Linked DNA regions of Lonchura striata. The protein of the gene in region 1 interacts with the protein of each later gene in a biochemical or structural test. Links are inferred from orthologs where the notes say so. Each region holds a gene or a part of one and is shown in the gene's direction. Other genes may lie near its edges. The genes, in order: USP8, STAM and STAM2.

Region 1 (7,281 bases):
TATCCCAGTCAGAGCTGGCCCAGGGCTCAGTCCTGCTGAGTTTTGAATGTCTCTCTATGAACATCCTACCACTTCTTTAGCTTCATTTCAGTGTCCAACCACCCTCATAGAAGAGCTGACTTCAGTATATATTCATCTTCCTCCACTAACCAAAAAGACACTCATGATAACAAGTTATACTTGATGTCTGTTAAACTGAATTAAATTAGTCTGTACATTTAACACCCTATTCAGAACCCACTGCCCACATCTATACACTGAAATGAACTGCAAAGCTGTTATGAAAACCCTCTGCAGCAAAACTCAAGCCACTCCCCCCAAAAAAAAATAAATTATGGTGGCCTGCAAAATGCCAGTCTCACTCCCCAGGAGATGTTAGGGACCAACTTCAGATCAACACCTTTTCAAGAGCCTCCCTGAACTCCCTGAATTACTGTGGAGCACAATCAATGATCCAGTTCTCTGCTCAATGCAAAACTAAATAGCTTTATACTACACTTGATAAAAAAATGTTCTAATCAAGGAAAAAAATAACCTTTCATTACCACATATTCCTTACATTAACCAACACTGTCTTGGTTGCTATAAGGTGTTTGTATTTTAAACAAGCACAAAGCATCACACAGGTTGGTATATGCCTCACAATGTAGTTTTTACTTCAGTTAAAAGAGAAATTAATTATGTTTCAGTTCTCATGGAGTACTTGGAAGCATGCTTGGGCCATCTAGTGGAAAAAAGAAAAAAAAACCCACAAATTTCCACTGTTCAACTAAAATAATAAAAATCCCATTACGTCACTAATGCACTAACAGCAGCAAACAGAGAGGCATTTCCAACAAACTCATGCACGTTTAGTCACTTTTAACCAATAAATACTAGCACTCACAAAATTTCTGAATAGTCAACCCAAAGCTGATTTCCACTTGGAGCCCATTCCAAGGACTGGCATTGTAGGAAAGCCCCCAGTGACAACATACCCAACTTCCCCACTACTCATCGCAGTCCTGGGACAGAGCAAAAAGGGTCTGCAGAGTCACAACCTCCCATTCCAGAAAACCTTTCCAGCTGCTCTCTCAAGATCGCTCAGCAACACTACAATAGTGCAGTGATACTATCACAAGCAAGATACAATAATACATTTAAAATTGAAATGAGATTGCTATTTCAAAGACCAGTCTGCTACTACTCCACAGTGCTAAAATCAACTCTGCTGAACAGTGTTGGAGGGTTCTCTTCACTGTGTCATTTCCATCAAGCTCTGCTAAGTATGACAGCTGTGTAACACTTTGCATGAGGACTTTTTTGGAGAATAAAAACATCAGTGGCTCTGAAATAAAGACTTGAGACTGTTGGAGTTACTCTTATGGCAATGTGATAATGTTTTCAGACTTCTAAGAGCTCCTACACAAACGTGTGAAGAGAGGGTTTGGTCTATAACTGAGTAAATAGGGAAGAGCTTCTGCTGGGTTTAGACTTCTCTGGTTTAATCAGCTCCTGAACTTCCACATTACTGCAATGTATTCTGCACAGTATCATTAGCCAGATGCCACAACTAACCGGTAATTTAAAATAACATCAAATTATTATTGCTATTTTACTTATGTTCAAAGGAAAATTATACTACTTTTTCATATCCATCTTAGATTTAGGTTTTTATACACTCTATTAATCTCTGAAGATCACAGTGTTACCAGCAGGGTGTAGAATGCCACTCAACAGTTTAGGTGGAACTGTGTGTGAAATAGGCTTTGTGGGAAGCAAGTGGAGCTAAAAACCTGGCAACTTGGGACACCTGGCTACCACACCACAGTCTACGGACAATAGAGCAGCAGACACTGCAGTCCAAATTAAAATCAAGTTTGGCTTAAAATGTTGCACCATCTCTCCGAGTGGTGTCCTGCCCCCAAGAACCCAGACCTGCTCCTTCTCTATCGCCGCAGTGCTGAGCATCAGCTGGTCAAGATCAACAGGCCCAAAACAGCTGTGGCAGAACATCTGGCAGCATGGAGACCTTCCAGCCCAGCATTTGTCCCAGGGTGCACTCCTGAAAGGGACATCCTTATTCTGGAGGAGCATGGACTGCAGCAGTGCAACTTACCAAAGGTACTCCAGTCAATACACACTGTGTCTCTGGTAAGGATGTCAAATCACACAGCTCCATTAAAGGCTCATTAAACACTTTTCCCTGCTCAAGTGACAGATGGCAGAATTGCACTTAGAAGATGGCTAGAGACCCATCATCTCTCACATCCATTACATCTGGAAAAATAACGTCCTTTCAGAAAGTCTTTTTCTTCCCAGTACTTAAGGAAAAACCAATTTAACCTGCTTCCCCAGAACTGACCTTCGAAAATGCTACCACCCTACTGGTTTTAACATCTCACAGTATTGCTAGAAATTCAGAATAGCCATTTCTAGCTAATTTTATGTGCCTGTCCATACCAAGATCAATAATATTTTGAAGTACAGAATAGAGTATATAGCATCTCATGAACACTTTGGAATCATTTTACATACATGACAATTGCCAGTGATTATAGCAACTTACATGGATAAACTCAAAAAGTTCATGTCTGGTTTTGTATGTGAATCAAACATCTTTTGACAATGATTTCACAAGCAATACTTCAAATATTAATATAATAGGCTTAGACTATCCACATTTCTATCATGATAGTGAAAATGACACTAATATGTAAATTGCAGTCAGCTTTAATTCCTGCGCTTTCTGCTTTCCTGACTGTTGTATTTGTAATTAAATTCTCTCTAGTTTGCTTGAACAGTAATATGACCTTCATGTCAGACATGCATCAGATGAAAATACCTGATCTGAGAAAAGCAAACATTGTTGCATAGCTTAGTGGCAAAGACAGCCAGGCCTGTTATTAATGCAGGTCTGTTCTCCTATTAGGCTCATACATTAACTTAAAATAGCACCAATCAACAATGAACTCAACTCAAATAAAAAAAGGTTTTTCTACATCTTTTTTTATAAAGGAGAGCACAGATTTGTCCATGATCTGTAACATCTAAAGAGTGTTATGCAAAAAGGGTGAACCATTGACACCCAGATTTGGACTGTCACTGCCAACAAGCTACACAGTTTTCACAAATAAATTTGGCACTAGATACCAAAAACGTTAATTTGCAGCAGCTGTGATTGACATAAAGAATCCAAGGGCTTGTGATGCAGCTTTTGAACTGTACCACAGCCTTAGGAGACCGTCTCAGGTTGATTAAGCTTGAAAATATCACCAAATAAAATTCATCCACCTCCTACCTACAACATCCATTTTACCATGAGGAATCTTCCTCGACAGTTTCTGTCTAAAAAAAAAAAAATCCAACTAGAAAACAAAGTGTTTTCAGCAAAGAAAGTAGGTCATGAACAAGTCTCTATTTAGAATATTCTGATCTGCCACATATACTCTTAACTTTACTCACATGGCACAGTTATGTTCCCCTACAAATATTTGTACTGCACACAAAATCCAGCTAACTGCACAGTCTTACTAATAATTCAGAAGTAACGAGTAAATTAAAATAGGCTGAAGAACTACAGGGTATGCATTCACAACTCTGAGCATATGTAACTCTACTATGAAGCATTCACCGTTAAATCAAAGCCACCTTAGCAAGCAGGTTAAAGGAAAATACACAAACGCCTTAAGAACTACCACAGGCGACTTCCTACAGGGGATTTCACCGACGTGCCACCAGCGTCCCACCAACGGAAACTACTTTGAGTATTTGGGGAAATCAGAAAAAAAAACGACAATGCGCACTAACATATCGTATCCCACTTTTATGCTCCCATCATAGGCTTTATTAAGAGTGCAAAGCGAGAGTTACAGACTGCGGGCGAGGGGCACTGCGGAGGGGAAGCCGCTCCCTTCCCGCCCGAGCCGCCTCTCCCCAGGGCACCTTTGGCGCCAAGCTCGCGCACGCAGCCCCGCCGCCTCAGCAGCCCGGGCCGCGGCCCCGCCGGGCCCCCCGGCCCACGCGGGGCTCGGGACCGTGCCCACGCGGCCCACACCGCGCTGCCCGGCGGAGAAGCCCGCGGGACGAGCCGAGCCCCGCTCTGCCCCTCAGCTGCCGGCTCCCTCGCCGGGCGCGTCGCGCTCGCCCGCGCCCCGCGGGCCGCCCAGGCCGCCGCCGCGGCCCAGCGCGCCGCCCGCGCCCCCCGCGCGGCGGGGTCCCCGGAAGGCCGGCCGGCCGCCCGCTCTCCCCGACAGGAAATCCTGGCTGGGCTGGGCGCTGCGGAGGGAGCCGCGGCGCCGGGTTCCGGGGGAAGTGGAATTATTTTTTACCAGCGAAGAGATCAACTTCCACATCCGGTAACAGGGCCCTATACAAAGGCGCAGACTGACCTGGAAAAGCTTGGCCGGCCCGGGGGGGGTGAGGGAGAGACGGGGCGCGGGGACGGGCCCTTACCGTGCTGCCGGCCCGGCCGCCGCCGCCGCCGCCGCACCGACCCGGGGCTCCGCAGGCCGACAGCCCCACACGAGAGTCCGCGCCGCGCCCGGCGGAGGGACACGGCGGGCGGAGGGGAGTGGCGCGGCTCCGCGCGGCTCTGCCCCGCCGCGGGCGCGCGGGCGGGCGCGAGGCGGCGCGGGGCGCCCCGGGCGGGCCCGGAGGGGCGCCCGGCACTTACCATGGGCGCGGGAATTACCTTATTAACACAGACATCGAGGGAAAGGGGCGCGCGGAGGGATACGGCCTCAGCGCCGCGCAGCGCGCATGCGCGCCGCCGCGGGGAAAGGCGGGGAAGCGCGGGCTGGAGGGGCCCCGCCATGTTCCGTTCCGCTGCCCGCCCGGCGGGGGCAGGGCCGGCCCCGCGCTCTCGGCAGGCCCGGGTGGCCTCCCTAGAGGCAGCTTGTGGAATGAAGATAGGGGTCGCTATCACGGGTTACTCTGTGGCACAGAATGGTGGGGCTTGAGTTTCCCGCCTCTTGGCTGCGGGGCTCTGCTTGTGCTCCCACGTGAGGGTGTGCTGTCTGAGCATGGACTTCTCTGTCTTGCCTGTCTGCGGCAGGGCTTTAGAGATAACCACGGAACCAAATCGGTTGGAGAAGGCGTCAGAGATCATAAGAGTCCAGCGTGTGATTCCACACTATCGTGTCAGCTTAGAGCAATGGCACTGCGTGCCAGCTCTACACCCCCAGGGACGGACCGCCTCCCTGGGCATCTCATTCCAATGTCTAATCACCCTGTGAAGAAATTCTTAATGTCCAACCTAAACCTTCCCTGGTGGAACTCAAAACTATGTTCTCTTGTTCTTGCATAGGTAACCTGGGAGAGACAAATTCCTTCCCACGTAGCTATAACCTCGTATCTGGGAGTTGTAGAGGGTGATAAAGTCACCCCTGAGCCTCCTCCAGGCTGAACCCCCAGCTCCCTCAGCTGCTCCTCATAGGACTTGTGTTCCAGGTCCCTTACCAGCTTCATTGCCTTTCTCTGGACCTGCTCCAGCCCCAAAATGTCCTCCTTAAGGGTCTGAGAACTGGATTCAGTATTCAAGGTCTGGCCTCACCAGTTGCAAATCTGAGGAAGCTACACTTTGGGATCATAGAAATAGAACTTGACAGGATGACAGCTCCAAAATAGTCTTCAGATGTTGCTGCTCCTTCAGAGGGCTCTGGCCTTCAGTCCCAGGCTGGTACTGAACCTGACAGCCCAGGCCCTGAAACATTTTTCTCGTAGTTTTGTTTCAACAATCCAAAATAGTTGTGCTCACAATTTCCCCAAAGCTGCTCCAAGTCATACATCTGCTACTGTGAAGCATGGATCTCATAATTCTCATCTTACAGGAAAACATACCAATGACAGAATTCTAGTCTGTTATTTTGGAGATTATAATACCCACTAGATAATTAGAGGAATACTTGTTATAACACTGTTTACAGAGCCGTTATTATTTGCCTTTGACCTATCTAATGCAGCTTTGTACAAAATACCAATAACAAAATTCCAAGGTAACCGTTTCTTTCTGTCACCTGTGGACTGGTTTTTCTGGGCGTGCTGAGCCAAAAGGCGGCAGTACGGAACAATTCCAAATACCTCAGGGCTGCCACTGGTCACTCAGGGCATGGAAACCTTACATCCAACCTTCAGCACGTTCCTTGTTGGCAAGTGTCTGTGTCTCTCAACAAGGAATTAGCATGTCAGGTATGGCTTTTCATTTATGCAGTAGTGGTAGACACAAAAAATGTTACAGTGTGCTCACAGGCGTGTGCCAATAAAACAGGAAGACTGGTGTTAGCAGCAGTGCTACAGAAAAGCCAAAATTTCCATATTACTGACAATCTTTCATAAAGGTGAAGAATGCATTTGGTCCATTAGCACTGTATATCAATTTTCATTAATATGATCACAAAATAATCATGTCTAGTTTTTTTACAGGATTCACCAAAACATGTAAGAGAGAGACATTGTATGTTAGATGTAGGCAACTCAGAACACATTTCACATCTGTAAAGTATGGTTTCTACTTTACCCTGCTTTAGAAGATGGTACTATTTTTTTTTTTTTTTAGCTAACTAATCTAAAAGCACACCAATTTCTACTAAAATTATTTTATTTATTTAGTACTGCTACACAAGAACATATGTGCTGATAAGAAAATGTGTTCTAACCTGAGGCAACCACAGCATGTTATAACATAATCAACATCATTAGCATGTTTTAACAAGCTCTGGAGTGGGGTAAAGCTAATTGCACAGGCAACTCCTCCCCAAACACTTTTCTAATATGGCTGGGGTTTGCCCATACAAGTAAAACCAAAGATTGTATCATGCAATTTTTTCATATAAGAGAAACAATAAAGAGGTTCTCTGAGTCCAGTTTGGACAGCAGTGAGTATGAGTGTCAACATTAATTTGTACACATCCCAAGCTCTGGTATCAGTGAACTTACCCCTTCCATCTTGTCATAACCTTCTGGCATCACTCACCCTGGCTAAAACACATAGAGCAGGTCTGAAAAAGGCACTTACAAGAGTGTGGTGTTATATTCAGTTCAGCTTAGAGTTGTTGGATTCTATTGACTTACTTTGTGTTCACTTTTCTGCACTATATAGAGGACATAGCACCGTTCTCATTTCTCCCAGAACCTTTCACAGATCTGAGCACTCACACTGCAAACTACAGATGGATAAATTGTCTGAGCCTTTCATGTGCCCAGTGCCAACCAATGTTACTGTACCTCTAGGTGCTGTAATATAGTTCAGCTTCCTGGGCAAGGAATTAGAAGTATTTTAGAAGGTTACACAGGGACAGGCAT
Region 2 (7,509 bases), on another chromosome or scaffold:
CAGCATCCCCAGGGAAGCCCAGGCACCCAGGGATCCCAGCAGCCAGCACCTTACAGGTTACCTGCCTTTCACAGGTAGATCACAATAGATTACCATAAGAGTACTCAAGCAAATAGCATAAACATATTTTTGTGTTTGACTTCAATGAACTTGTTTTCCAAAATAATTTAACAAAACTTCAGTGTAAATGTATTAAATATTTCTTCATGTGAGTTGCTTCGAAATTACTGCTTTGAATTCAGAGAGACTGAGGAAGATATAAACCCTTGTTTCTGGCATCCCTGTGCAAATATTAACTAGAAAGTTGCACATCACAGTGTTTAATGTTGTCAGGGCAAAATGAATTATTTTACAAAATTTAATAGTAGAATCTTTGCCTAGTTCTAAGATTACATGGGTTTGAAGGATTTCCAGTTATTTGCTTCATATAATCCTACTTGCATACTTCATAAATATTAAGGCAAAAAGCGACAATTAAATAATTTTAGCCTGATTTCCTAACACCAGACACCAGACATACTGTATTGATATGTTTCATATATTTTCTCCATACATAATGGAATAGATAAGATTACTGTAAGCCATGCTGCTTGGACACTTGCAAAATATTAGAACATATACAGTAAGGTTATAGATGGGAAGTAAATCACTATGGTCCAGTAGCTAAAGCATCTACATGTGCCCTGTAACTGGAAAAATTTTGTCTTTGTCATATCATTGTATCGTTATGCAGTACAGCATCTTGTAAGCCATCCAAAACATTTTGTTCTTGCCCTGTCAAAGACAAAAACTGTGATTAAATGGATGGCTGGCACTTACTCTATTCTGAGCTTTTCTCTTTTCCTTTGATTATCCTTTCTTCACAGTTTCCAGTTCCAAAAGCAATGTACACAGTAGACTATAATGAAAATGCAGTTAAAATAAAGGTCAGTGGGACTGATTTGTGAGACAATCATTGTTCTTCATATCTGTCTCCTTGCTAGAAGTGTACTGGCCTGACTTTTTCCTGGCACCATACACTTTGTTTTTACAATGCAGCAGCTACCAAGATATGCTAAAATAAATGGGCATGACAAATAAAATACTACCCCAGCAAACTGGAGCTGCAGTGGGTCGCTATGTCTATAATGGCTTTGCCTTATTTTAAGAAAATGCTTGTCTAATGCAGATGGATGTCAACTGAGTGATTGTAAAGAACATTAGAACTTCCCCAGCAGATTTACAAGTTGGTCCTCTTAGATATCCTTTCCTACAGAAGACTATAGAAAAATGAATAATTGTATATCATCAGAATCCAAAATTTACCTTCATATGAATAAACTCTTGTCATAATTTTAAGTAAAAGTCACAAATTATATAAACAAACAGCATAAGTAAAACACTTTATCAAATTTAGGTGTATGTCACATCTTTAAAATCCAGGAAGCGTGTTATGCTGAAAATTAACTGAATACCTGCCTTTATGAGACTTCACCTGGAGTACTGGATTCAGCTCGGGGTACCCCAACATAAGAAGGATGTGGACCTGCTGGAATGAGTGCAGAGGAGGCCATGAATATGATCAGAGAGCTGGAGCAACTCTGCTATGGAGATGGGCTGAGAGAATTAGGGCTGTGCAGACTGGAGAAGAGAAGGCTCTGGGAGAACTCATTGCAGCCTTCTGGTATCTGAAAGGTGCCTGCAAGAAAGGTGGAGAGGGACTTTTTAACAAGGACATTGTAGTGACACAGCAATAAGACAAGGGGTAATGGCTTTAAAACTGAAACAGGGTAGATTTAGATGAGATATTGGGAAGAAATTATTTGCTGTCAGGGTGGTGAGGCTCTGGAACATGTTGCCCAGAGAAGTTGTGGGTGCCCCAAACCTGGCAGTGGTTCAAAGATTGAACAGGGGTGTGAACAACCTGGTGTAGTGGAAAGTGTCCCTGCCTAGGGCAGGGGGATTTGAACTAGATTACCACTAAGGTCCATTCTAACCCAAGCCATTCTGTGATCTCTTAGCTGTATCTGAACAACAGTACTATATAAAAAGAGAAGTGTGCAAAGAAAAAAGACATGCCTGCACCAGTCATCTGAGACTGCTTACTTCAGACAAAAGTAGCACACATTTTAAAAAAAAAAAACAACACCCTACTTAAAACTTGCTATAAGGCTGTCTAGAGACAAGCCCTAAGTCAGAGAACTGTTGGACAAATAGGCTCATCTGTGAAATCAACAGAGTCACTGTTGCAGAGGCCATCTTCAGAATGAGGTCCAAAATAGAACAGATGAATAATCCCCTGGACATGCCTGTTTTTCCTGACCCAGACTGCTGAAGTACTGTCCCCAGCCATGCCTTCCCACCTCTTCACATGCCTGATCTAATTCCAAGGTGAGTCAGAGGTATGACATGATCCAACAGGGAACTTCTCTGCAGTGAGGTAGTTTTCAGCTGGATCAGCTGATTGTGCAGCCACAAATGAAATGGATCAAATTCCAAATCTAATACAAGAAATGTGGTGGCAGCACATAGTTGTGGGCACAGGGCAGTGTTGCTACATTCTCTTTCAGCTGTAGATCCCCCAAAATTAGATGCAATTTGAGACTGTATCTTTGATCTGTATGCCTTACTTTTAGATAGCTAACTTAGGCAGCAGTAGGAAATAATACAAGCATTTTGAACTACATCCAGTAAAGATGTAGTTCACACCTGTTTATTAATAGCATATAGATTAACACACCTGTTCTTAATAGCATATTCATTATACTACTCACACATAAGGTGGAAAAGCTGGTTTCGATAGCCATTTATGTCAGAGAGGGCAAACCTCCCTCTTCCTGGGAGAGTGCTCTACCTACCAGCCATGGAAAAATGCTAGAGTCACGAGACAGGGAAAAGAGGGAGAAATCAATACAATATGGAGTTTTGGAAGTACTTCACACTGTGTCCACAGTAAAAAAAAAATCATTACAGAATTAAAATATGAGCCATGATTACAAACCCTTAAGATGCTTCCTGGTATAGACTGCCTTTTTTCAAAATGTTCAGTAAGGTATTGGGAAGGAAGATTGGGTTGGAATGCTTTTAGGCTGAAGGCAGTCTAAAACCCCAGTTCCCCACAAGTGTTGTGTTAGCTCTTCCTGCAGGACGACTGAATAAAAGCTCTGCTTGTTTTGAAAGGATTCCTACCATTAATTTTGAACTGATCGGAAAGAAGGGATGAGAAAGGAGGGGATAAAGCAGGCTCAGAGGACATCTACCATATGTCTTTTGTGAACATAATGGGGGATGATGAATGGGGAGGAGGTAAAGTATCCTCTGAGAGTATTTAGTAGTTGAATAGAGGTAGAATCCAAAGAAAACATGAAATTCCTTACAAGTAGTCAGTTCTACACAGCAGATCAATGCTGACCTGCATTAGCTACTGAAAACAGTTGCTAAACAGTAAAGCAGAACTAGAGGTCTGGGAAAGAAACCTTAGTAAAATAACAAAGTGCTTAGTGACTGTAAATCCTTGTGGGAAAAGGCTTGGTGTGCAGTTTTCATTTGATGTGTCAGAAGTCTGCCTAATGCATGCAATCACATTCATTATTGAGCATAGTTAATGCTATTGATCACATCCAGTGTTTCTGCCCTGCAAACAGTCATAGCACCTCTTTCATTTCTTGTTTGCGTGCCTGTGATGTGCTCCAATTGCTCTGTCTGACTCTTTCCCCAAGCGTATACATGAGCCTAGTTTTACTTAATTTGCAATCCAACCAGTTCAGAGTATCGAACAGTACTAAAAGGCATTAAGGATAATGACTTGAGTTTTATGTCACAGCAGGAATATGCAGAACGTGTCTTATCCAATGAGTCATATTGTTAACGTGGGACACACCCCACTGAAGCCAGCAACACAGGCTTACAAAGTGGAGCACCAAGATAGAGAACCAGAGGCCACGGGATATTCCAGGCCCTGTGACCAGCCGATAGCTACTGCCCTCCATGAGATGTGACCGCGGAGAAACGGCCAGGCTCCCGTGTGATGCTGTGAGAGATCTGGCACAACCACCAGCCTGCCCTTTGCCGCCAGGCTACCGTGCCACAAGCACCGTGGCATTGCCAATGAAAAGATTCAGTCAGACCAACGTATAGGGAAGCTCCAAAAATCTCCCATAGAAATCAAATGTGTCTGGGTACAAAACCATCTCGCCTCACAAGCACGGGCGGAGGAAAGACCTCACGTAACTAAATAATATAAACCTCCGCCTAGGGCAGCCGTGCCGGGGCTGAGATGCCCACCTGCGATGGCGGGGCGGGGCAGGGCGGGTGTTGCGGGTCCCGCGGAAGGCCGGGGGGCGGTGGCGGCGGGCCCGGCCCCGGTTCCCGCCCCGGTTCCAGCCCGGGTTCCAGCCCCGGTTCCAGCCCGGGTTCCCGCCCGGGTTCCCGCCCCGGTTCCAGCCCCGGTTCCCGCCCCGGTTCCCGGCGTGCTGCGCGGGAGGCGGCGCCCGGCGCTGGGAGGAGGCGGTGGCGGCGCTGCCGGGGCGGGAGGAGGAGCCGCCGCCGCCGCCGCCGAGGGCTGCTCTCCTTCTCTCGCCGCCGCCACTGCCGGGAGGGGCGGCCGCCCCCCGCCCCGCCATGCCGCTCTTCGCCACCAACCCCTTCGACCAGGATGTGGGTGAGTGGCTCCGCGGCCCGGCCTCTCCCCGGTGATCCCGCGTTCGGCGGGCCGGCCCCCGGACCCGCGCTGGCTCCATCCCCGCGGCAGCCGGCCGCTGTCCCGGCCCTGCGCTGCCGGGCCCCTGGCGCCCGCCCGGGAAGCCGCAGCAGCGGCGGGGCCCGGGCGGGCCGGGGCCACGGAGCGGCCGGGGCGGGCCGGGGCCGCGTCCCGGCGGGGGCGGCCGGAGCTGCCGGGGACAGCGCCGGGGCCCCGCGGCCCTTCTGGCCTTGCGGGCCGCGGCGCCGAGCGCGGGGATGCTCCTGGGGGACGAGCTGGCCTGCTCAGCGCCAGCAAAACAAGCGGCGCGAAAGGTCCGCGCTGGAGTGTTTTTGAAAGGATGAACAGAAAAAAGCACCATCTACAGTCGCTTCACAGACAGGCGTGAGAAAATCGTTAAAGCGTTTTGTATTTAGTTCTTTAAAGGGGATTCCTGTGGGAGCTTTCTCTTTTCCTTTCAAGTAAAACTTGATGTGCTGAGCTCAGGTGTTATCCCCACTTTGCTTGTTCCAAAAGGCCAGATTAGGTGGAGAAGTATCTGGCTTTTACTTGACAAAAATTGGACTTAATGCTGATGTGTTGAAACTGAAGTTAAAATAACATATAGACAGTTAATAATTAGTTTTGTGTGTTTTATTTGAGATTGTGTAATATGGTTGGTTTTTGACCTGCTGCTGACATCTCTTTAGCTTTGAGCCATAAAGGCTTTGTCTGGAGAATCCCATAATATAAAGGGACTTTTTCTCCTATGTGCATAAATACACCCCTTGGTTATTTTCTTACAGAAGTGTAACATTATTTAAGTCTCTTGAAACTAATTTCTTTAATAGTGTTAAACTAGCTGTAACTTTCAACTGCAGATATTAATATTCAACTGCAGTTTCTTAATATTTAATATCAAACTTCAGGTGTTTAGGCTCCAATTAAATTCTTCCAGCGCTTCAAAGAAATACCAAGTCAAAGCCATTTGAAAAGTATAGCATTTCAGGAGAAAGGATTATTGAATAAACAAAGTACTGAGATATAAATTCTGTTTTTATGTTATCAGAAAATCTTAGTCTATTGCATCAAAATAAGACATACCTCGGTCTTCTCATTTTGAACTGTTAACTTTTAAGCTGAAGACTGCACTTCAATGAATGATTTTGTTGGTAGCAAAGCTGACTTATTTTGGAAAGCAGTAAAGAATTCTTCTTAGTTGTTCTGCTGTCTTCTAGTGTAATTTGACAGCTATAAGGGACTATTTGAGAATTATTTGAACTAATAAGATTAAAAAGTGATAGGCTCAGGTTCTGGCAGGTGTTCACTTTTTTTCTTGTTAGTGCCTCTTGCTGGCAGGAGAGCTCAGACTGCTTGAAGGGGTGTCTCTGGAGCTCAATTCACTGGATGTGCTCCTCAGCACTGTGAGTCACAAGGCAGGGCAGTAGCACCCGTCAGTTATTTCAGTGGCTCATTTGCTCTTTTCTAGGTGCAGAGGATGCCAACCTCCTATCTATGGTGCTTGCCTAATATGATCAGCAGTGAAGAACTTTCAAAAGCATTACTCTGTAAAGAGTATGAGGAGATAGAAATAACCACTCAGTACCAAATCATTTTTGGAAAAGCAGACAATGGGCCATGAGCTGATTTTCACTGGTAAACAGCCCCTTTTGGCCCCTTTCATGGTGTCCTGAGGGAGCAGCAGGCTGTTCAGTTGGTGACAGCCTACTTTCAGGACCCTGCTGCCTTTATCCATCACTTCACTGGATTTGTGCCAGGGAGATGGCAGTGATGAAGTCTCCCGGAAAGCACCCCTGGGCTCTTCTCTGGGGCCCTTTGGGAATTTGCTATTATCTGGATGAATTTTTTGGCAGGCTTCATAAGATAGCATCAGCTGTAGAGTAAACTCTCATGTTCTCAAGAAACTTCCAAAAGTTGTGAAGCTATAGTGCTATTTTTCATTGGTTTGCTGTGAGTGAAAGTTGAGCGTTCTGCTTTTGTTCTTATCCAGCAAGAAAGTTTTCTTTTTAAAATCAGATTCCAGAAGCAGAAAGGCAGTCAGCAGCTATTCTTAATTTCATACAAATGTGGACATTGGTGTAGTTGATAGTATAGTGATAGCTATACTATAGCTATAGTGCATTCTTGTCTACTGAACAGCTGATCAGTACTGTGCAATAGTTGGAAATTATCTTGGAACCATTTAGGGTAATGGATTGCAGAGAGCATACCTGGAACTAAATTGTTTTGCATTATTTTGAGGAGCATAAGTATGTCTTACCTTCAGGACAAATTTTGCAGTTTGTCTGGCCAGCTAGCAGCATTTGGCTAGTCCTGTTAGCATGCTGCTGCAGTGGAACCTGGTCATCCATAATATATTATCATTTGTACCAACTTTGTACGCCTGTTTTTTTTAGGTGTAGTTGGCTAAAGAATGTTATTTAAGACTGCTATTAAATTAATAATATTAAAGATGTCCAAAGATTTGTGAAGGTTAACCACTGTCATCTTCAAGAGTCCAATTCTCTGGATGAAGTCCAAATAGTTTTCATTTTCTGAAGTTTCTTTTTCACCATAGTTAGGAATATTTCAACAGGACTGGATGCTAATCAGTGGTGACACAAGTTTTCAGAATCAAGTTGGGGAACCTTTGATGATGTGCCCAAGTAAGGAACATGGAATTTAAAAAAAGGAAAAAATCTTCAAGAACTGGGCCTGTTGAGAGTATAATTAAGAAACTCTAATCTTCCATTTAAGGGGTTAGAATTATAAGTGTTCTTATTAGGTTTGTGGGTTTTATGTTTCTGCTGTATTTCTTAATCTTAAAATCATAAAATTATTCCCAGCAAGTT
Region 3 (6,927 bases), on another chromosome or scaffold:
TAATGGTGGGAACACAGCTGGGACACGGGGGCACAGACTGCTCAGGGAGACAGAGATTCCCAGAGCCAGAGGCTGCAAATACAGCTCTGGAAACAGCTTCTTTTCAGATCATTTTGCTGTCCTCTCCTCCTTGCTTCTCCTTAAGGAATAGTTTGTTCCTCCATTACTCCGTGCCCTGATATTTTCCTTTCCTTTCTGTATTGTTGTTGATTTTTACCATTTCCTGTGGGATTTTTCCTTTGGGAATTGTGGCTCTGGCTGTGGTGTCACCCAAAGCAGGAGTTCTGTAGGTGCTCCTGGACTGGATGTTCTCCACGACTCCTTGGAGCTGGGAGGCTCAGACTCAGCGGAAAGCCCTTCCCAATCCTTCCTTTCCAGGTGGTCTTGGATGCGTGGTCCCACCATGTCCAAAAGAGAATGGAGCAAAGCTCCACGTTTGATTTGAGGTGACAAAACCTATGGAAATGGAGGAACCATCCCTTCGTTTCCACGGCCAGCTGCTCTGACTGCGGCACCACGTGGAATGAGTGGAGTTCATGAAAGCCAAAACTCTGGAATTAACCAGGATCCATTCCAAATTCCCACTTTGGCCAGACAACATCAGTGTTCGGTGCCTTCCCGTGCTAATGGGTTCATAATTCCTCTTTTAAGGCAATTAAACCAATGAATGCCGTTCTCGTTCCGAGTCGTTAAATGAAAGGAGAAGTTTCGATGCAATTAGTGAATTTAGACCTCGGGAAAGACTCTGCATTTTGTCTTAAAAAATCTGGCAGGAGGCGATTCCCAGCAGCAGGATCGGGATGGCAAAGGGTGGCCGGGAATGCGAGGCAACTGTGCCCCCTGCAGACAGCCGGAATCCCTGGAAAAAGCCTGGAAAACCGGGAAGGGAACGCTCCTTGGACCTCCACCGCCTCCTCACACAGCCCATCCACTTCAAGGCGTTGAGCTGAAAGGTCTCCTCCAACCTTGCTGATTTGATGGAATTCCAGAATCAAAAATCCCGACAGAGAAGCTTTGATAGCCCCAGGTCATCACAGCTGATTTAAAACCCAATGTTTTGAAGTACAAGATGTTCCAAAAATATGAGCTGTTTTCATGACAAAAACGAAGCACTACATTTTTGTAGGAACATCTCCAAATGAAATTTTAATAAATAATAATAATTTATAATTATTCAAATGTATAATTCAATTCAATTACAATATAAGAATTAAATCTCTTTACAAAAGGTGCTAAAAATACTGTTTTCACACGTGCTCTGAATCTTACACTTTGGTATTACAGCTGAGGAAAGGAATGTGGCCCCTGAAATTCAAGGTGAGTGGGCAGGGAAATATCACTGAATCATACAGGAAGCTTTCAGGAATGCTGCAATAATTTGTGTTGGACTTCCAAAATCCTGCCCTTCTCCCAGAATTGGGAACTGTGCTGCTGCCATGCCTCACTTTGCCACAGGTTCTTTGGGAATAACTCAGAATTAGCCACAGGTTCTTTGGGAATAACTCAATTTGCCACAGGTTCTTTGGGAATAACTCAGAATTAGGCAGTGGGTGCTGTGCTTTGCCACAGGTTCTTTGGGAATAACTCAGAATTAGGCACAAATTCTTTGGGAATAACTCAGAATTCAGCAGTGGGTAACGCAGTGACTCAGGCCCGCTCCCACATGGGTGACTGTGCATATTCCAAAGGCACCGGTGCTGGGTACAACCCCTGACTCATCCCACTTGTTCCTCACAGGAAGGACTTGGAGCTGATCCCCCAGCAGGGATGGGGACAGGTGGTGCTCAGGTGTGCCCATAATGGGGATTTTTGGGGGGCCACACATCCCAAAAATCTGAACTGTCACTGAGCCACGTTCCCTGTGGAATGTTCCTGTTTGCCACCATCCCTCCACAACCTGTAATCCCCTCATCTCCTCAGCCAGTTATTAATTAGTGTCCTCTCTCCTGCTGGTTAATGATTCTCTCGTTCCTCATGCTAATTAATGCCGTGCCCTTGTCCCGTTTAGGGTCAGGCAGTTTTTTACCCCCTGCTGGAATTAATTCCCTTTTACCCGGGCACAGCTGATTTCACCACAGCCGCTGAATTGGCTCTGTTGGTTTCTTCCCTGCCCCGGGGGCTCTGCCAGATGCCTTTGTGGCCTGGGAATCCGGCATTCCCTGGATCCACAACCAGGAGAAATCCTTCCTGCTGAATGGGAATATTGAATTCCCTGCATCCACTGCCAGGGGAAATCCTTCCTCCTGAACAGGAATTCTGCATTCCCTGGATCCACAACCAGGAGAAATCCTTCCTGCTGAATGGGAATATCGAATTCCCTGGATCCAATACCAGGGGAAATCCTTCCTCATGAAAGGGAATCCCTGGATCCACAACCAGAGGAAATCTTTCCTCCTAAACGGGAATCCCTGGATCCAAACAAGAGGAAACCATTCCTCCTGAATGGGAATCCCTGTATCCACTACCAGGGATTGAAATCCTTCCTCATGAACGGGAATCCCTGGATCCACTACCAGGGATTGAAATCCTTCTTCATGAACAGGAATCCTGCATTCCCTGGAAATTCAGCTCAGGAAACAGCTTATTTTGGATGCACTACCAGGAGAAATTTTTCCTTCTGAACGGGAATCCCTGGATCCACTGCGAGGCAAAATCCTTCCTGCTGAACGGGAATCCCGCATTCCCTGGATCCACTACCAGAGGAAATCCTTCCTCCTGAATGTGAATCCCTGGATCCATAACCAGGGATTGAAATCCTTCCTCATGAATGCAAATCCCTGGATCCATAACCAGGGATTGAAATCCTTCCTCTTGAACGGGAATCCCTGGATCCACTAACAGAGGAAATCCTTCCTCATGAATGTGAATCCCTGGATCCATAACCATGGATTGAAATCCTTCCTCATGAATGTGAATCCCTGGATCCATAACCAGGGATTGAAATCTTTCCTCCTGAACGGGAATCCCTGGATCCACTACCAGGGATTGAAATCCTTCCTCCTGAACGGGAATCCCTGGATCCATAACCAGGGATTGAAATCCTTCCTCTTGAACGAAAATCCCTGGATCCACAACCAGGGCAAATCCTTCCTCCTGAACGCTCTCAGCCTCACCTACAGCTGACCTCACTGGAGCTGACAAGCCCTGAATTTAACACAGCAGTTGCAGCCTGAGGAATTTGTTTTTCCGGCACTGTACATCAGTGGGAGCTCGCTGGCTGCTGTCTCCCACCGCCCTTCCTGGCGATCCTCATTGCAACCTACAAAGAACTAACACCAGAGAACATCCTTCCAAACACCAGAGCACATCCTTCCAAACACCAGAGAACGTCTTTCTTAACACCAAAGAACTTCCTTCCTAACACAAAAGAACTTCCTTCCTGTACAAAACCTTTACGCATTCCACATTGGACAACAATCATGCAGGACCCTGCCTCATGACCCGCTTCCCCTGCAGCTCTCTGGGAAATTTTTTCAGCATTTCCAACGGTTCACTGTTTTTATTTCTTTTATTTTTTTTTTTTAACTTTTCCTCTTGACGAGCCAGGACGAGCTGCCCGCGCAGTTTGCGCCCTCAGACAAGCGCAGTTCGGGTACAAAGGACGAGCGGCGCCCGCCGCGCTCGCTCCCTCAGGCGCCGCCGCGACATGGCGGCGGGTCGCGTCGGCGCGCCCTCAGCGGCAGCTCCGCCCCGCGGGGCCCCGCGCCGCGCCTGCCGCCGCCGCGCTCCCGCCGCCCGCCCCGTTCCCCTCATCGCGCGGGGCCGCTCCGCTGTTCTCCCTCCCGGCCGCGATCCCGGCGGCGCTGCGGGCGCGGCGGGGCCGCGCGGCGCTGCGGGCGCGGCGGGGCAGCCCCGCGCGCGGAGCGGCCGAGGCGGGGCGGGCGCGGCGGCGGCTCCGGCCGGGTCAGGCGGTGCGGGACGCGCGGCGGCACGGCGGGCCGAGATGCCGCTCTTCGCCGCCAACCCCTTCGAGCAGGACGTGGGTGAGCGGCGCGGCGGCGGCTGGGCTCGGCGGGGCGGCCTGCTCGGGCTGTAGATTCTCTTCTTCCTCCTCTTTTTTCCCCGCTTCCTTTTCCTCCTCGGCTGTTTCCTTCTCCTTGTCCTCCTCTTTTCGCCTCGCTGTTCCCCGCGCCGGGGGTCGGCGTGGGTCCCGGTGGGTGATCCCGAGGAGGGCACCGTGGCCCGGCTGGGGCAGGAGGGATCGGCAGCCGTGGGGTGAGGCCGGTGTGACACGGGGTCACAGCGAGCCCCGGGAGTGCTGGGCTGGGAAAGGGCCTGGAAGGCTGGAAAAGGCCCTGGGAGGGGCTGGTGCCCAGCTGGGCAGGAGGCCAGTGGTCCCTGGGCTGTGCCAGCCCGGTGTGACACAGCCCGGGGCAGTGCCCGTCCCTGTGCTGGCACTGCGGGGACACCGCAAGGGTGGGGACTGCTCTGGGACAAGGGAGACACTGAGGGGCTGGAGTGGAGCTGGGAAGGGAATGGAGAATCCCTGAGGGAGCTGGGAAGGGGCTGGAGAATTCCTGAGGGAGCTGGGAAGGGAATGGAGAATCCTTGAGGGAGCTGGGAATGGGCTGGGGAATTCCTGAGGGAGCTGGAGAGGAAATGGAGAATCCCTGAGGGAGCTGGGAAGGGAATGGAGAATCCCTGAGGGAGCTGGAGAGGGGCTGGAGAATCCCTGAGGGAGCTGGGAATGGGCTGGGGAATTCCTGAGGGAGCTGGGAAGGGAATGGAGAATTCCTGAGGGAGCTGGAGAGGAAATGGAGAATCCCTGAGGGAGCTGGGAAGGGAATGGAGAATCCCTGAGGGAGCTGGAGAGGGGCTGGAGAATCCCTGAGGGAGCTGGGAAGGGAATGGAGAATTCCTAAGGGAGCTGGGAAGGGAATGGAGAATTCCTGGGGGAGCTGGGAATGGGCTGGGGAATCCCTGAGGGAGCTGGGAAGGGAATGGAGAATTCCTGAGGGAGATGGGAAGGGAATGGAGAATTCCTGAGGGAGCTGGGAAGGGAATGGAGAATCCCTGAGGGAGATGGGAAGGGAATGGAGAATTCCTGAGGGAGCTGGAGAGGGGCTGGAGAATCTCTGAGGGATCTGGGAAGGGAATGGAGAATCCCTGAGGGAGCTGGGAAGGGAATGGAGAATCCCTGAGGGAGATGGGAAGGGAATGGAGAATTCCTGAGGGAGCTGGAGAGGGGCTGGAGAATCTCTGAGGGATCTGGGAAGGGAATGGAGAATCCCTGAGGGAGCTGGGAAGGGAATGGAGAATCCCTGAGGGAGCTGGGAAGGGGCTGGAGAATCCCTGAGGGAGCTGGGAAGGGAATGGAGAATCCCTGAGGGAGCTGGGAAGGGGCTCAGCCTGGAGCCAAGGAGGATCCCCAGGGATCTTTTCCCTCTCTGGAATTCCCTGTCAGGAGGGGACAGCCGGGGGGATTTGGGATCATCCCAGGGAATGGGACAGGAGCAGAGGGAACGGCCTCAGGCTGGCCCAGGGGAGCTCAGGGTGGGACCAGCAGGAATTTCCCCATGGAAAGGGGCTCAGGGATTGGCACTGCCCAGGGAGGGTTGGAGTGCCCATCCCTGGAGGTGTCCCAGGAATTCTGGAGGTGGCACTCGGGGCTCTTGGCGGGGACAGGGTGGGCATGGGGCACAGCTGGGACTTTGGGATCTTGGAGCTCTTTTCCAGCCTCATTTCTGGGATCCTGAGCACCAGAATCCCAAGGCTTTTCCCAGAAGGGAATATCCATCAATCCCACCCCAGCAGCAGAGGTGGCCCTGCCCCAGCTCCTCCTGGCAGGGAACATTTTGTGCTCCCCCACAGCTCCAAATCCCTCACACCAACAACAGAAAAGGAGCCCGGAAAGTCCTTAAAATCCTATCTTTTGCATTTTGGGGGAAAAATTCTTCCTGGCAAGCGTGCTCAGGCCTTGGCAGGGGCTGCCCAGGGAGGGTTGGAGGTGTCCCTGGAATTCCTGGAGGTGGCACTCAGGGCTCTGGGCTGGGGATAAGGTGGGCTTTGGGCACAGCTGGGACTGGATGGGCTGGGAGGGCTTTTCCAGCCTTAATAATCCCGGGATTCCTCCTGTGGCTGTGGTGGGCCCAGGGCACACCTGACACATCCTGGCCGGGCTGGGGGCTCTGGCAGGGAAAGGATCCGTGGTTCCCCCCTCTCCCTTCCCCTCAGCAGCATCAAGGAATGGTTTGTGCCTGTTTTGCTCCGACTCCTGAAATTTCCCAGCGTTTTCCAGAGGTGTCTCTGTGCATCCTGGCCTCGCCATGGCGTTTGCAGGGATTCGGATACTTGTGGCTGCTGGAAGATCAGCTGCTTTTCATCCTTTTATTGAGGATTTTTTCCCAGTGGCTTCCCCAGAACCACACAGAGGTTGGGGTGGCTGTGCAGGGCCAGGAGCTGGGCTGGATGATCTTGATGGATCTTTTCCAACTCAGGATATTCTGTGCTTCAATGATTACAGAAGCTGCCTGGAGTTGGGCTGAAGACGGTGACTCAGTTGTTTTGTTTTGTGTCCTGCCCTGACTCGTGCTTCCTTAAACTCGTGCTCTGTGTCACTTTTTTGTTACACAACGTCTGTTCTCAATGGCAGCACTGAAAAAAACAGTGAAATAAGTGAGACACCAGGCTCAGCTTTCTTGTTGGCACCCTAGGAAAGAGAAGAATTCAACATTCCTGGGATTTTTGTCCTGGCCAAAATGGAAGAGTTTGAGTGCTCTTGTTGCCACACAATCTCTTGTTTCATTTTGAGCTGGTTTCCTGGTTTATTTATTATTTTATTTCTAATTTCAACTCCCTGGTGCAGTTTGCTGTTTGACCACACTCACATTTCACGTGGCTCAAACTGGTGTATTTGTTCAGGTGGATTTTTTTGGAACTCTGCAGGGTTCTTGAACAAACCTAAATGCCTCAAGGACTCCCAGGCTG

The links.
Region 2: the proteins of USP8 (region 1) and STAM form a complex in vitro, tested with the Homo sapiens proteins (2 studies listed by BioGRID). The link is inferred for Lonchura striata from reciprocal best matches to the Homo sapiens genes USP8 and STAM.
Region 3: the proteins of USP8 (region 1) and STAM2 form a complex in vitro, tested with the Homo sapiens proteins (3 studies listed by BioGRID, with this or other methods). The link is inferred for Lonchura striata from reciprocal best matches to the Homo sapiens genes USP8 and STAM2.

The regions. Positions count from the first base shown.
Region 1 is NC_134613.1:14,580,491-14,587,771, reverse strand, and holds the start of USP8 (ubiquitin carboxyl-terminal hydrolase 8), read left to right. Parts: upstream 1-4,223; 5' UTR 4,224-4,337; intron 4,338-4,370; exon of another isoform or gene 4,371-4,538; intron 4,539-4,654; coding exon of another isoform or gene 4,655-4,657; exon of another isoform or gene 4,658-4,665; intron 4,666-4,672; exon of another isoform or gene 4,673-4,721; intron 4,722-7,281. Other genes in the region: GABPB1 (GA-binding protein subunit beta-1), read right to left, coding at 4,655-4,657. UniProt on the Homo sapiens protein: Hydrolase that can remove conjugated ubiquitin from proteins and therefore plays an important regulatory role at the level of protein turnover by preventing degradation. Converts both 'Lys-48' an 'Lys-63'-linked ubiquitin chains.
Region 2 is NC_134603.1:136,688,405-136,695,913, forward strand, and holds the start of STAM (signal transducing adapter molecule 1), read left to right. Parts: upstream 1-4,489; 5' UTR 4,490-4,599; coding exon 4,600-4,639; intron 4,640-7,509. UniProt on the Homo sapiens protein: Involved in intracellular signal transduction mediated by cytokines and growth factors. Upon IL-2 and GM-CSL stimulation, it plays a role in signaling leading to DNA synthesis and MYC induction. May also play a role in T-cell development.
Region 3 is NC_134610.1:1,561,537-1,568,463, forward strand, and holds the start of STAM2 (signal transducing adapter molecule 2), read left to right. Parts: upstream 1-3,874; 5' UTR 3,875-3,943; coding exon 3,944-3,983; intron 3,984-6,927.